Linked DNA regions of Saccharomyces cerevisiae S288C. The gene in region 3 interacts genetically with the main gene of each other region. Each region holds a gene or a part of one and is shown on either strand. Other genes may lie near its edges.

Evidence for each region. Genes that interact genetically often act in the same process or in processes that back each other up.
Region 1: mutations in CAP1 (region 3) and BBC1 together harm fitness more than expected from each alone (negative genetic interaction), as found in Saccharomyces cerevisiae (4 studies listed by BioGRID, with this or other methods).
Region 2: mutations in CAP1 (region 3) and AIP1 together harm fitness more than expected from each alone (negative genetic interaction), as found in Saccharomyces cerevisiae (5 studies listed by BioGRID, with this or other methods).

What each region holds. Positions count from the first base shown.
Region 1 is NC_001142.9:398,437-404,125, forward strand, and holds BBC1 (Bbc1p), read right to left. Parts: upstream 3,975-5,689; coding exon 501-3,974; downstream 1-500. Other genes in the region: MPS3 (Mps3p), read left to right, coding at 4,461-5,689. UniProt on the Saccharomyces cerevisiae protein: Involved in the regulation of actin cytoskeleton.
Region 2 is NC_001145.3:451,132-455,082, reverse strand, and holds AIP1 (Aip1p), read left to right. Parts: upstream 1-1,603; coding exon 1,604-3,451; downstream 3,452-3,951. Other genes in the region: snoRNA-binding rRNA-processing protein UTP15, read right to left, coding at 1-1,068; NPL6 (Npl6p), read left to right, coding at 3,718-3,951.
Region 3 is NC_001143.9:427,586-432,195, forward strand, and holds CAP1 (Cap1p), read left to right. Parts: upstream 1-1,716; coding exon 1,717-2,523; downstream 2,524-4,610. Other genes in the region: sphingosine N-acyltransferase LAC1, read right to left, coding at 1-966; SFT1 (Sft1p), read right to left, coding at 2,613-2,870, 3,012-3,047; 60S ribosomal protein eL14 RPL14A, read left to right, coding at 4,321-4,449. UniProt on the Saccharomyces cerevisiae protein: F-actin-capping proteins bind in a Ca(2+)-independent manner to the fast growing ends of actin filaments (barbed end) thereby blocking the exchange of subunits at these ends.

The sequences.
Region 1 (5,689 bases), on a different chromosome or scaffold from region 3:
CTTCATCTGCCATCGCCTTTCTATGTTTTCCGTATTTCTTCCCCGCAAGTTCTTTAAACTCAGATAGTATTAGAATCGATAATTAAGGCCAGGTCAAAGTTCGTATTAATTTCAACCTTTGGGCACCTATATTGGATTAATTTCCGTAAGATAATATATGAGAGCACTATCATGGAGTGATGAAGAAAAATTCAAACTCTAGGGGCAAACCGTTTGTTACGATTGCTCAAAAATTACTGCGTCTGAAGCCAGAATTGTAGGTATATACGAAAAGGTACAACTTGGGATACTATTGACGGCGGTAAGATAAGTGAATCCTACCTTTCGTTTTGAGCCGCTCAAATAAGACCTGATACAAAAACGGTTGTTTAATCTTTGTATAGTTTCTTCTGTAGAAGAGTTATGAAAATATACACTTAAACTATAACGATAAGAAAATGCGAAAGGAAAATGATGAAATCGAAAGCATTCACAATTTCCCCTTGGAAGCATTGGGTAAATTACCAACCTACGTATCCTCTCGCAACAATTCTGAAAACCTTTAACTTCCCACTTTTCATATGGCTTAGCTTGTAGCTGTTTTGAATAATCTTTCCCTCGTGATTTTCGATAACTCTAAACTTATTCTTTGTAAAATCATAATCAGTAACAACACTCGAATACGGAGCGGCGGAGTCCATTCCAACGTTGATAATTTCGTTTTTTCCGATCTTTTTATGAGCTTCAAATTTGGCCTTTCTAATTACAAGAATGTCACCTGGTTTAATCTTCTGTAAGCTCTTCATCAACTGTTCGATTCCTTCTTCAGGTTTATAACTCAATATAGTTGCGCCAAACGTTCTTGCTCCTATGGGTTGTATAACTTCGTCTTTGAATTCGGATACAATTTGTGACACGAAATTCTTAGCCCCAATATGTGAATTTATCAATGAATGAGATTTCTCTACAACTTTCGCATTAAACCTTTGAGCGTATTCATCAAGAATACGTGCTGATTGTGTTTCGACTGGCGATGGAAAGCGTTCTTGAAGAGTCGTTACCGTTTTCTCTGGGCTTGTACTATTAAAGGTCAAGGAGAATCTTAGTTGCGAATAGTTTTCAAACAAGAAGTAAAAATCCCTTACCACCCATTTTTGATGTAATCTTTTGGAAATGAAATGATCATCGATCTCCATCAAAAAGTTCAACTTCAGATTGCTTATAGCAGGAGGTGCGCTTTTATTAATCCACCATCTTTCTTGTGCATTAAACTCTATCTTGACGTTGTTGGAAATCTCGCCTACATCATGCGTCGTTGACCTTCTTATAGAGGCCACCTTCGGTGTAGTATCTGACTCATGGAATGAATCCACAGGACGATTCGTCAATGAAGGCACATGGGGCGGTAGGGTTCGTGATTCTTTTTCTGCCCCAGATAGTACTGAGGTTGGCACACGTTGTTGCGTACTCATCATTGAAGGTGTAGAGGCCGTGACATTTTGATGTGGTGGAGGAGAAGGAGCTGTATGTGAATGAGTGGCTGTTGGTTCAGAGTCAAATTCAAAAGTAGCCGGTGGTACTGGTGGTGCACGTGGAAGTGGCGGAGCAGTATTTGGCATAGGATGATATTCCTCGGATACAGGTGGAAGGGGAGCAGATGACTTGACATGTTCTTCTACTTCATTGTGTTTAGGCAGCGCAAGAGGCGCTGGAGGTGCTGGAGGTGCTGGAGGTGTTGGAGGTACTGGAGGTATTGAAGGTGCTGAGAGTGCTGGAGGTGCTGAAGATACTGGAGGTACTGGGGGTACTGGGGGTACTGAAGGTGCAGAGAGTGCTGGAGGTGCTGGAGGTACTGGAGGTGCAGAGGGTACTGAAGGTGCAGAGGGTACTGGAGGTGCAGAGGGTGCAGAAGGCACTGGGTGAGGTGGCACCTTGTCCTCAGGATGTGACACCTTACTTAGAACTGGAGCTGCTGGAGCTGCCATCGAAATATCTTGAGCGGTTTCTGTTAATGCAGATGAATTAGTGGAAACTGTATCATGATACTCGTTTATGGATTTCCGCCGATTTTCCCCTGAAATGGATTTAGTCAAAGAATTTATCGACCCGTTGCGAGCAACTCTTGTTTGTGGGGAAGAGACAGGCAAAACATTTCCAGTTGTGTTTTGTGATGAATTTTCAATATCATGTGATACTTCTGCAGTACGGTGGGAGATTGGTGGTTCTTGAGGGTAAATTTTTTCTCCGGAATTAACATTCTCTGACTCATTATTACCTATCTGAAAAGCTTGCTCCACCATCGAATGCTTTCTCAACCCATCGTTTGCATCCTCAAACTCGTGGTCGTCAGTATCTTCATCAGAATCATGGTCAGAGTATTCGGGATGTGCATTATCAACAGCAGCTAAATTGTGATAGGCGTGTGTACCATGTTCTTGCTTCTGTTCATGCTCTGTGGTTGCATGAGGATCTAGCGTCTTTGTTTCAGTGGGTTGATTCTTCTCACTTAGATTTGATTTCCTAAAAAATGGGTTAGAACTTGGGTCAACAAATGGCATAACAGGTATGGCACGAGGTAGTTCTTGGAGCTGTTCAGGTTCCTCCTCCTCCTTCTCCTTATGCTGTTTCTTTTTCGGCTCTTCTGATGGTTTATTTCCAACTCCAGAAGCCATACCGAAGGGGTTAAAACCAACAGGAGCACCGAATCTACTAGCGCCAGATAGTTTAGCCATTCTTTCTCTCAATGCGGCCCTACGATTCTCTTCACTATCTTCCTCTTCTTTTTCCTCATCATTATCTCCCTCTCTGTCTTCATGGCCGTAACCTATTTCGCTTTCCTCAGCAACATTTTCTCCTCTTGCCTCGTCTGCTTGTGACTCCTCAACTTTCTGATTTTCCTTTGTGTACTCATCTAAAAATTGTTCTTTCTCTATGTCATTCGTGCCTTCATCTGCTTCGCGTGAGGTTTTAGTAATCTCTTTATGTGCCAATAATTCCATTTGCGGTTCCTCGTTGTGCTCAGTTTCAGGCGTAAATTCAGGTTTCGGTTCAGTTTTTTCATTTTCTTCTGCTTCTTCAGTTTCCGTATAGGGCTCATTCTTGTTAACCGCACTACGTTCATGTTCTTGTTCGAGCTTAGCCTTTTTTCTCAAGAGTTCTTCTTCTCTTGCAGCCTGTAATCTTTGTTGCTCCTGTAAAAGAGCAATTCTTTCTTTAAGGCTCATCTGGGGCAAATCCTTCTTTAATTGGTCATTCTCAGTTTCTATTCTTCCACTTTCCACCTGTGCACGATTAATTGGTTCGGGAACAATCTTTTTTTCGTTTTCCTTTAGGGACTTTTTCCTTTCAAGATTGGACGTATCATTTGTTGGAATTCCAGGGGGGACATAGTATTTAGGAGCATCTGCCACAATTGTTTTTTTCACAGGTATGTTTTCTAAATCCAAGTGAGTTGATTTTGGTAAAGGAACTTGCTCCGTTATATCTTGATTAAACATAGATAAGCGAGCCTTCAATTTTGGAGAATCCATGGGAACTTTTCTTTCGCCATTACCACTACTACTATCATGCTGGACCTGTGCTGATACTGCTGTAGCGGCTGGAACTGGCACTGTAGCGGCTGGAACTGGCACTGTAGCGGCTGGAACTGGCACTGGCCCGGACAGAGTTTCTTTCTTCGTTTCAGGGGAAATGGGCTCTGGTAGGTCCTTTTGTTCTACTTCCGGCTGGATTGTACGTTGCTCAGTGGAACCGGTATTCGGAGATGATTCGGCTTCCTTTCCAACTTCAGATCCCTGAACAGCAACAAAACTTTTCGGGAAGATACCCTCAATAACGTCGCCATTTGAATCCTGGTATTCACCAAAGTACCATTCGGCGTCTTCAACAGACGTAACAATAATCTCTTGATCTTTTTCAAAATTTAAATCGTCCTCGTAATCGGACTTGTATGGGAACTGAGCCACCACCTTGAAGGGCACTTCGGGTTCACTCATCCTTAGTTTGGGTAAGACTGTGTTTACTTCTAGTAGCTCTTGCAGTTGGGACGCGATTGATGTTTACTACCGACTTGACGCTACTGTTTCACAGTGTGCTAGTAAATACCACTTCTAGTTGAAGTCTTAAGGAGATTATAATTCTGGAGGTAAAATAGGGGCATTGTAGACCTCTAACTATTTTCAGGGTATATTCCTATATTATATAGGTTTATTCTTAAAATATGAGGTTTATAAATGATACACATCACTTATTGATAGGGTTATACTCTTTGATACGGGTAACATATGAGACGCGAAAATGGAATATAATGACAATGTAAATATCGTCATCTTGAGATAATTATCAACAAGGTTGTCATGAGGAGTTACAGATAAAAGTCAACAGAGTGGAGTTAGTGGTGTTTTAACTGTAGTGCTCCATAGTTTCACGGCGGTTTCTCTTGTTTTCAGTTGGTAGTAACTTTTATCCTGGAAGTGCTGGAAATGAATAACTCAAATGAGCATAGGCGGGAAGAGGCAGGAGCGGCTAATGAACAAATGCCTTACAATAAGGCTGTAAAGTCCGCGTATGCAGATGTCCTCAAGGACAAAATGAATAGGGAACAGGAGATTAGCCTACGAGCCATCAAAAAAGGGATATACACCGATGGCGGTGAAACTGACAACTATGATATGGATAAAGAGAATGATTCCGCGTACGAAATGTTCAAAAAAAATCTTGATTTTCCGTTAGACCAACATAATGATGACGACGATGATGATCCGTACATTGAGGATAATGGACAAGAGACCGACGGATATAGCGACGAGGACTATACAGATGAGGCAGACAAGAGTTTTATAGAAGACAGCGATTCCGACAGCTACGATTTGGAAAGTAATTCTGACTTTGAAGAGAACTTGGAAAGTTCAGGTGAAGCTAAGAAGTTGAAGTGGCGGACGTACATTTTCTATGGAGGCCTTTTCTTCGTTTTTTATTTTTTTGGATCTTTTTTGATGACAACCGTGAAAAATAATGATTTAGAAAGCCATTCATCCGGCGCTACATCCTCTCCAGGCAAATCATTCAGCAACCTACAAAAACAGGTGAATCATTTATATAGTGAGTTGAGTAAGCGGGACGAAAAGCACAGTTCAGAATTGGATAAAACAGTAAAAATCATTGTCTCTCAATTTGAAAAGAATATTAAAAGACTTTTACCCTCAAATTTGGTTAATTTTGAAAATGACATTAACTCGCTGACAAAACAGGTTGAGACAATTTCAACTTCCATGAGTGAGTTACAGAGGCGAAATCACAAATTTACGGTCGAGAATGTTACTCAATGGCAAGATCAACTGGTAAAACAGTTGGATACACACCTCCCTCAAGAAATACCCGTTGTAATTAATAATTCTTCGTCGCTTTTAATAATCCCTGAATTGCACAATTATTTGAGTGCTTTGATTTCAGACGTTATTGAGTCTCCAGGCATTGGTACTGCTGGAAGCGCTGAAAGTCGTTGGGAGTATGATTTGAATCGCTATGTAAAGGAAATTCTTTCGAATGAGTTGCAATATATCGATAAGGATTATTTCATCCAAGAAATGAACAGAAGGTTGCAATCTAACAAACAGGAGATTTGGGAAGAGATCACAAATAGGTTAGAGACACAGCAGCAGCAGCAGCAGCAGCAGGTTCAACAGGATTATTCTAACGTGCCACAGCAGTA
Region 2 (3,951 bases), on a different chromosome or scaffold from region 3:
GTTATTACTTTTCGCATTCTTATTAAAACTGGCGGGTGCGTTTTCTTTATCGGAAGAACGTTTCTCTTTCTTTTTAGTTCTAATGGCTAGTAGTCCTGATGATAAACCTGCTACTAAATGCCTATTCCCTTGTGCGGTACTAGGGGAGACAGCACAACTTAGTACGGGACCCGAAAATTTCCAGCCAAATTTGACTTGGAAATTGTCTAAAGGATCAAAGACTTTGACATGACCATCTAAGGAAGAAGCGATCAACGCCGATTGCATTGGAGAATCAAAATTTTCAACATAGTCCAAGCATGTCACAGCCTTATTGAAATTGCCACGTTCGTATAATTTCTTGTTACTGGTCAAGTCCCACACTTTGAAATTATTGCCACCGCAAGAAACAATTTGGGTTGGAGATACTGCAATAACATTTTCAACAGGTTGGTCATGATTCAGAGAATAAATTGGCGTGGATCCGCTAGATCTTGTGTCATATAATCTGATCAAACCGTCGTATGAGCCTGTTGCAACCAAATGTGGGGCTGCTGGGATAAATGATAAGGTACGAACATAGTCAGTAGCTCCGGTGAGCTCTAATTGTGGCTCATATGCGTTGGATATATCCCAAAGTCTTGTCACTCTATCGTCACTCGCCGTAGCCAGAATTTTGTTATCTTGCGTATGGAATTTCGTAACATGTGTGGGATGTGTGGAAGCGTTTATAGATAAAAGGATAGTCCTGGGATTATAACTGTCGTATACAGACACTAAACCGGTAGCATCACCGGCACAAAGCAATTTACCATCACTCCTAAAGGATGCAGAATAGACAACATCTTTAAATCTTGAAAAGGTCTTGATCACTTGCCTAGTTCTTGAAGAAAATATTTGAACTCTGGTTGAGGAAGTTACTGCAAAATCATGAGGATGTTGAGGATTGAATGATATGTGAGTAACGCTATTATGTTCTTTAACCAGTTGTGCGGAAGTGTATTGACGCCAGTAACGCTGCTCCGGGGTAGTCTGTTGAGGCAATAATGGAGCCTTCGAAGTGATTATTCTAGGCCTAGCAGTCGACATTTTATTTCTATATTATGATCCTTAGGCCTGTTCTTAGCAAAAACTGTTTCAAGGGACTTCTATTAGTGATGGGCATCGTTTTTTCTTCAAAGCTCGAAAGTTTTCAAAATTTTTCAGTTATTCCAAAAATTTTCAAAAGATAATTATCACTAATTACGAGGTATGTAGGTCACAGAACGTTAAATATTATGCTTACTTGGGGTGAATGACTAGAAACTGGAGGTGTATCAATACTAGCTATTGCTTTCCGTTCATAATCAGAACTGAACGCTACCAAGACGTTCTGAAACGTTTTTATTGGTCTCTAGTGTCCCGTTCGTTTGTTTTCGAAACAATGAATTGTATATGATGTACGGATGTTTTCACCCTGTAACCTGCCACCTTTTCTACCGAAGGCATATATGTCAGATCTTTGATTAATGATCATTATTTAATTATAAGGGGAAGCAACTCAGCACTATTCTGCCTTTTGCAACTCGCAAATACAGTTTTTAAGGTATATTAACGGGCAAAAGTAGCAAAGTAAACAAAAATAATGTCATCTATCTCTTTGAAGGAAATTATACCACCTCAGCCTTCGACACAGCGTAACTTTACTACGCATTTATCGTATGACCCTACAACCAACGCAATTGCTTACCCATGTGGAAAATCTGCATTTGTACGTTGTTTGGACGATGGAGACAGTAAAGTACCTCCAGTAGTACAATTTACTGGTCATGGCTCTTCGGTAGTCACAACGGTAAAGTTCTCTCCAATTAAGGGTTCCCAGTACCTATGCTCCGGTGACGAATCTGGAAAAGTGATTGTTTGGGGATGGACATTTGACAAAGAAAGCAATTCTGTTGAAGTGAATGTTAAGTCTGAATTCCAAGTTTTAGCAGGTCCAATCAGCGATATCTCCTGGGATTTTGAAGGGCGAAGACTCTGCGTTGTGGGAGAAGGTCGTGATAACTTTGGTGTTTTCATATCCTGGGATTCTGGTAATTCCTTAGGTGAAGTTTCAGGTCACTCACAACGCATCAATGCTTGTCATTTGAAGCAATCTAGACCTATGAGATCTATGACAGTTGGAGATGATGGATCTGTTGTCTTTTATCAAGGACCTCCATTTAAGTTCTCTGCCAGTGACAGAACACACCACAAACAAGGCTCATTTGTCAGGGATGTTGAATTTTCACCTGACAGCGGTGAATTTGTTATTACGGTAGGGTCTGACAGAAAGATTTCTTGCTTTGATGGCAAATCAGGTGAGTTTCTTAAATACATAGAGGATGATCAAGAACCAGTTCAAGGTGGTATATTTGCACTATCGTGGCTTGATTCCCAAAAGTTTGCTACCGTAGGAGCAGACGCTACCATTAGGGTTTGGGACGTCACGACTTCAAAATGCGTTCAAAAATGGACCTTAGACAAGCAACAACTGGGAAATCAACAAGTTGGTGTTGTTGCAACAGGAAACGGAAGGATTATTTCTCTTTCACTGGATGGGACCTTAAACTTCTATGAACTTGGACATGACGAGGTTTTAAAAACCATTAGTGGTCATAACAAGGGTATTACTGCTTTGACAGTCAACCCACTAATCAGTGGGTCATATGATGGTAGGATTATGGAATGGTCTAGCTCTTCCATGCACCAAGATCACTCCAACTTGATTGTATCATTGGATAATAGTAAAGCGCAAGAATACTCCAGTATTTCTTGGGATGATACTTTGAAAGTGAACGGTATTACTAAGCATGAATTTGGATCGCAACCAAAGGTTGCTAGTGCGAACAATGATGGCTTCACTGCAGTACTAACAAATGATGATGATTTGTTGATATTACAGTCTTTTACGGGCGATATAATCAAGAGTGTAAGACTGAACTCACCAGGCTCTGCCGTTAGCTTGAGCCAAAATTACGTTGCAGTTGGTTTGGAAGAAGGTAATACTATTCAGGTATTCAAATTATCAGATTTGGAAGTCAGTTTTGATTTAAAAACACCTCTTCGCGCAAAACCCTCGTACATATCAATTTCGCCATCTGAAACATACATCGCTGCTGGAGATGTTATGGGCAAGATATTGCTATATGATTTACAATCAAGAGAAGTGAAAACTTCAAGATGGGCTTTCCACACCAGTAAAATCAACGCCATTTCATGGAAACCTGCTGAAAAGGGAGCAAACGAAGAGGAAATTGAAGAGGACTTAGTTGCCACTGGTTCTTTAGACACCAATATTTTTATTTACTCCGTCAAAAGACCTATGAAAATCATTAAGGCGTTGAATGCTCACAAGGACGGTGTTAACAACCTTTTATGGGAAACACCATCTACCTTGGTTAGTTCTGGTGCGGACGCTTGCATTAAAAGGTGGAATGTTGTCCTCGAGTGAGATAAGAATATAAAGTAAACAATTACGTAACCTTAGAAAAATAGATATAAAAAAGTTTTACACTGTTTTTACCACAGTCCATATAAACTTGTAATTATTACCCGAATGCTTTGATTACTTCGCTCTTTTAAAAAAAAACCCGTTCGAACTATTAAACATGTTACTGTGAGCAGACAAAAATATTGCAAGAAAACAGCTTTATAAAGTTTAAGCATTACTGAATACAGTACATTTACTTTTGAAGAAGGAAATACCATCTAGCAGAAATGTCAGATTCAGAGGGAGGTCTAGCTTCCGAAGTTGAACATGAGAAGCGGTCAAGATCTACTAGCAACAGACCCAATTATGCAATTGATACTGAGGATTTAGATATTGATGAAAATGATGAGAATGAAGATGATGATTACAGAGAAGAAGAAGCCAATGAGGGAGTGAATGAAGAAGAAATAAGTGATGAGGAGGAACAGATAAATAAAAGCGGAAGAAACAAAAGGAGGCAC
Region 3 (4,610 bases):
ATTTATGTAATGACGCAAATAAATCCACGCAACAACAAAGATAGCAAAAGAAAAAAAAGCCAATCCAGAGTCCAAATAATTTAGAGTTTTGGAGAATGACAAAAGAAAATCAGAAACATCCATTGTGATATAGATTGGCAGTCCCATTTTAGTGAAATGAAATACGTAGGAAGACCAAATCAATAGTAAAGTAACAATATGATGGAAAGTCAACTCGTTATGATCTTTTCTTGGCTTTTCTAGTTGCAATACAAGAATGCAGGCTTGTTGAGCCCAAAATGCAGCTTGACCCAAATAGAATACCTTGAATAAGAAGGGATTAGTGAAATCTGGATATGTTCTGTACATTGCCTTTGTGTTGAAAAACCATAAATCCGAATGGTACATACAATATATCCCGAAAGGACCGGAAACACCGGTGTAGAAAATAGCGTACATTTGTTCCATGATTCTTTTTATTCTGTGCTTAGAAGTGACGTGTAACCTAATAGCGAACGGTCTAATGACAACATCCATTAGGAATTCACGTAAGAATGTGAAAAAAATCATATAGTAAAATACAAAGCACAAATCGTTAATACCTTTACCATATGCGTTGGTATCACCTATTTGGTATGACACAGCGACAAATCTATGTAACACATTTGTCTTTGTAGTGTTACCAGAAGTGAAATAGGCACTATATACCGCGATTAAAATCATCAAGGGAGCTATCCAGGCATGACGGTAACTTATCTCTCGGAATGAAAACCAGATTTTCTTGACCAGGTCGCTATCATTTTTGGTGGCTTCAGATAATCTCTGCATACGCCTTTTAGCAGCCGTTTTAGATTCTTTTGTCTCGAACATAGTACCTAAACTAGGTACAGTGTCCCCGAGGTCGATCTTACCTATGGAAGACTTGCGTCTTGGTCTTGACCTCACTTTCAAATTGTTGTTTGAAGGGCTTGGCTTTATTGTCGACATAGCTCTTGTTTATTGATACTGTGTCTATCTAAATGTTTACCGGAGGTATGAATAATAAAAACAATAGCGATCAACCGACAAAAATATCTGTATGGAACAGAAAAACGGTAACGAACAAGAAACTGTAGTTTTAACTTAAATCAGGTCCGGATTATAAAGCCGATGTAGCAGAAAAACGGGTTCACGGAATACAATAGCCAAATAACAATAAATAAATAAATAAATAAATAAGAAAAAAAAAAAGCAAGTAAATAAAACAAAACGGGATGCAACAAGCCAAGGAGGGAAACAATAGAAAAATAACTTAAAAATCTTTGTCTAGATTCCAATACTTTCTCCCTCCTCCCACGTTATTTGTCTAGCATGATCAGGTACAATGCCCACCGATATGAGAAAAAAGAGTGAAAAAAAAAAAATGACGAAAATGGTTCCGCGGATCTAGCAACTTTGTTGGAATGACCGGAAAAGACAGTTGTTTCCTTTCCAACTATTTTTCATTCCTGGTCTTTTTCCTGTTGAAGCCCAGCATTTTTTTTTTCGCGTCGCGTTTTTTCACAACAGTTCGGATCACGTGATAATCACTGCACGTGACTATCATGTGATACGATAGCCGGGTTATGATCCCCTTTTTCTTCCTATTGGAATACTGATTTTACAGTGGCTAGTACTGGATTTGAGTATAGGAAGGTGTTAGCAACTGTAAGGTACTATTCAGACCGTTAATCCAACGGATCATAAGAGCGACAGAAAATGTCTAGTAGTAAATTCGAAGAGGTCATCAACAAGATCATCAATGACAGCCCTCCAGGAGAATTAAGGGAAGTATACGACGATCTAATCAAGATCACAAGTGAAAACTCCAAAAATACTATTTTGGATGCTATTGAGAATTACAACGTGCAGAATTGCATCCCTATAGAAGTCAACGGGAACTCTGTAATTATTTCCAAATACAACAAGGAAGGAGCAAAGTTTTTTGATCCCGTAAATTCCGTAATATTTTCAGTTAACCATTTAGAGCGCAAGGGCCTTGACATTGAACCATATGAGTTCACGCATGCAAAGATAGAGAAAGGGCAATTGAAAGAACTGCACGATAAATTGCACGAATATCTTCTTCAGAGCTTTCCAGGTGATGTCAGTTTTGCTGTTTACCCAGTCCCTGAGGAAATAAGTAAAATTTCTATTATTATTGTTAGCACCAAATATAATCCAAACAATTTCTGGAACGGCCATTGGAGATCAAGCTACATCTACGATTTGGAGACCAGGGAGTTATCCGGTCAAATCTCTACGCAAGTCCACTATTACGAAGACGGTAACGTTAGTTTCCAATCTGGGAAGGATATCAATCAATCTAACGTTGATGACGTTGTTTGCACAATAAGGGATATTGAGACGAATTTCGAAAATGATCTAGATCTTTCATTTTTCGACTTGAACGAAAAACAGTTTAAGGCCTTAAGAAGAAGATTACCAGTCACGAGATCCAAAATTAACTGGGGTAGTGCGATTGGCAGTTATAGATTGGGTAAGAATGCGGCAGAAGGCAAATGAAATTTCATGCCTGCCTTATTCCATTCTCTTCCTATTTCTTAAATTGAATACATCTATGTACATTATTTATTTTTGGCTTGATTGGCTCACTAAAATAACTTAAACAGGGTATATAGAATGAAGAATATTAATAACGCCAAACCCACCATTCTCCATATGCTATTACCAGCCTTTAATGATCGGGTTAACCTTGAGGACGAATTTTTGATATCGGTAAACATCGATCCCAATGAATCTGTCATTTGGTTTATGACAGAACTGTCAGAGACCGCTCGGTCTCCAATCTCTTGGTTTATGTTTCTGAATGTAGCTAATTTATTGGCTAACCCCTCTAGTTTCCTATCATTCTGTTTAAAGTACATGTACATGAAGGGATGATACATCTGCTCATCCGGTGTACAGAAGCAATAGTTAGTAGCTTATAACATCCATATAGCAAGCTAGGTCCCATTCTAAACACCTATGCGTGTTGCCGGTGATTTACATACGTTTGATTCGGTCTGAGAATACCTAGAATTTGACATCGCTATGATGATTATATATTACCTTTCTACCGTTCTCTCCTTGTTGAGTTCTTCCAGTATCCTTCTTAATGATATACCTTATATTATTTCCTCTTTTTTTTTCTGCATGTAGCAATGCGCGGCTTCTTGCAATAACAAGAAAACTAGAGTAGCTAATTTACTGCATGAACCGTACATTCAGCAACAAGAAACATAAGATACTTACCGCACAATATTCATTGGTCAGTTACCGTACACACGAAGATCCTTTCTGAGTAGCGTAGTTTAAGGGAGCACACATTTTTAAATTCTAAACATTGCCTCAAGATGTTCTCCCATATACAAGGAAGGAATATTGAGCAACATGGTTAATCTGCCAGTTGCAACAACGCAAGTGTTATTAGAAATATTGTTCAAGGAAAATATCAGATAAAAAATTTTTCGCACTTCGCTAATCACCCATATAGAACATGGCGGTGTTCCAAGTGATTAGCCCTAGATCGCAAATTATATCATCATTCAGTTACCTTTCTCATTGAATCTTCTTGATAAGAACTACTGGTACCTCAAATAGGAACGAAATATGATACCACTGTATCATACTATCATTCTCAACACATTTGTTATATATTTTATGTTTCTACTGAACCTTTTGTCAGTCATCTCACTAGCAGCTGCGATTAACAGTCATCGGATATTTAAAATTGAAGCTTTTAAAATTGAAGCTTTTAAAATCAAACATGAATACACATTGGAGTTCACTGAAGAAATTAGGTTTAAATAAAAAAATCCAGCATTAGTTGTGAAGTAAAAAAAGACAAAACCAGCAAATTCTTGCCAGAATGTAACTATACTCTGAGTAAAATAATTGACAGCGCAAATACACCCATACACTATTTTTACATCTTGACATCACATACATAATATGTGTGAAATATCAAATTTTGAGTGTCCGTTATCAATTTTTTTTCGATTTTGCATTTTATGAAGCTTCAAACAGGTGTCGGCCTAACTTTCCGCCCGGAAAAGAGCGGTTTACGAGAGATTGCTGCTTGCAGCTGCGTGCATTTTTCCATAATCGGGTTTCCCTTCAGCGCGCAGTGTTTCCATTCTCAGCCCAATTGGCAACGGAGAGAGCGTAGAGCTTTCAGTGGACTGCCCTTCGTACTCGTCGAGTACTATTGAACTGAAAAAAAAGTAATCTAAGGTTAAGTTGATCAGGTCTGCCGATTGTATAACAAATTTAATTGTTTGTCTTAGTGAACAAAGAGAGTCGTGAAAAATAAAATAAACAATGTCCACCGATTCTATTGTCAAGGCTTCTAACTGGAGATTAGTCGAAGTTGGCCGTGTGGTTTTGATCAAGAAGGGTCAATCCGCAGGTAAATTGGCCGCTATCGTCGAAATTATTGACCAAAAGAAGGTATGTTAAATCCGGAAAACCTATCATCGATTTGAGGAGGGAAATGAACGAGGAATGAGATTTAGGCTACGAAAAAGTGCTGGCAAATATCCAATCCGTTACCATGGATGAAGCTACTTGTAAACGATAAGTAAATGTGAAAATACACATTGCGATAGAGA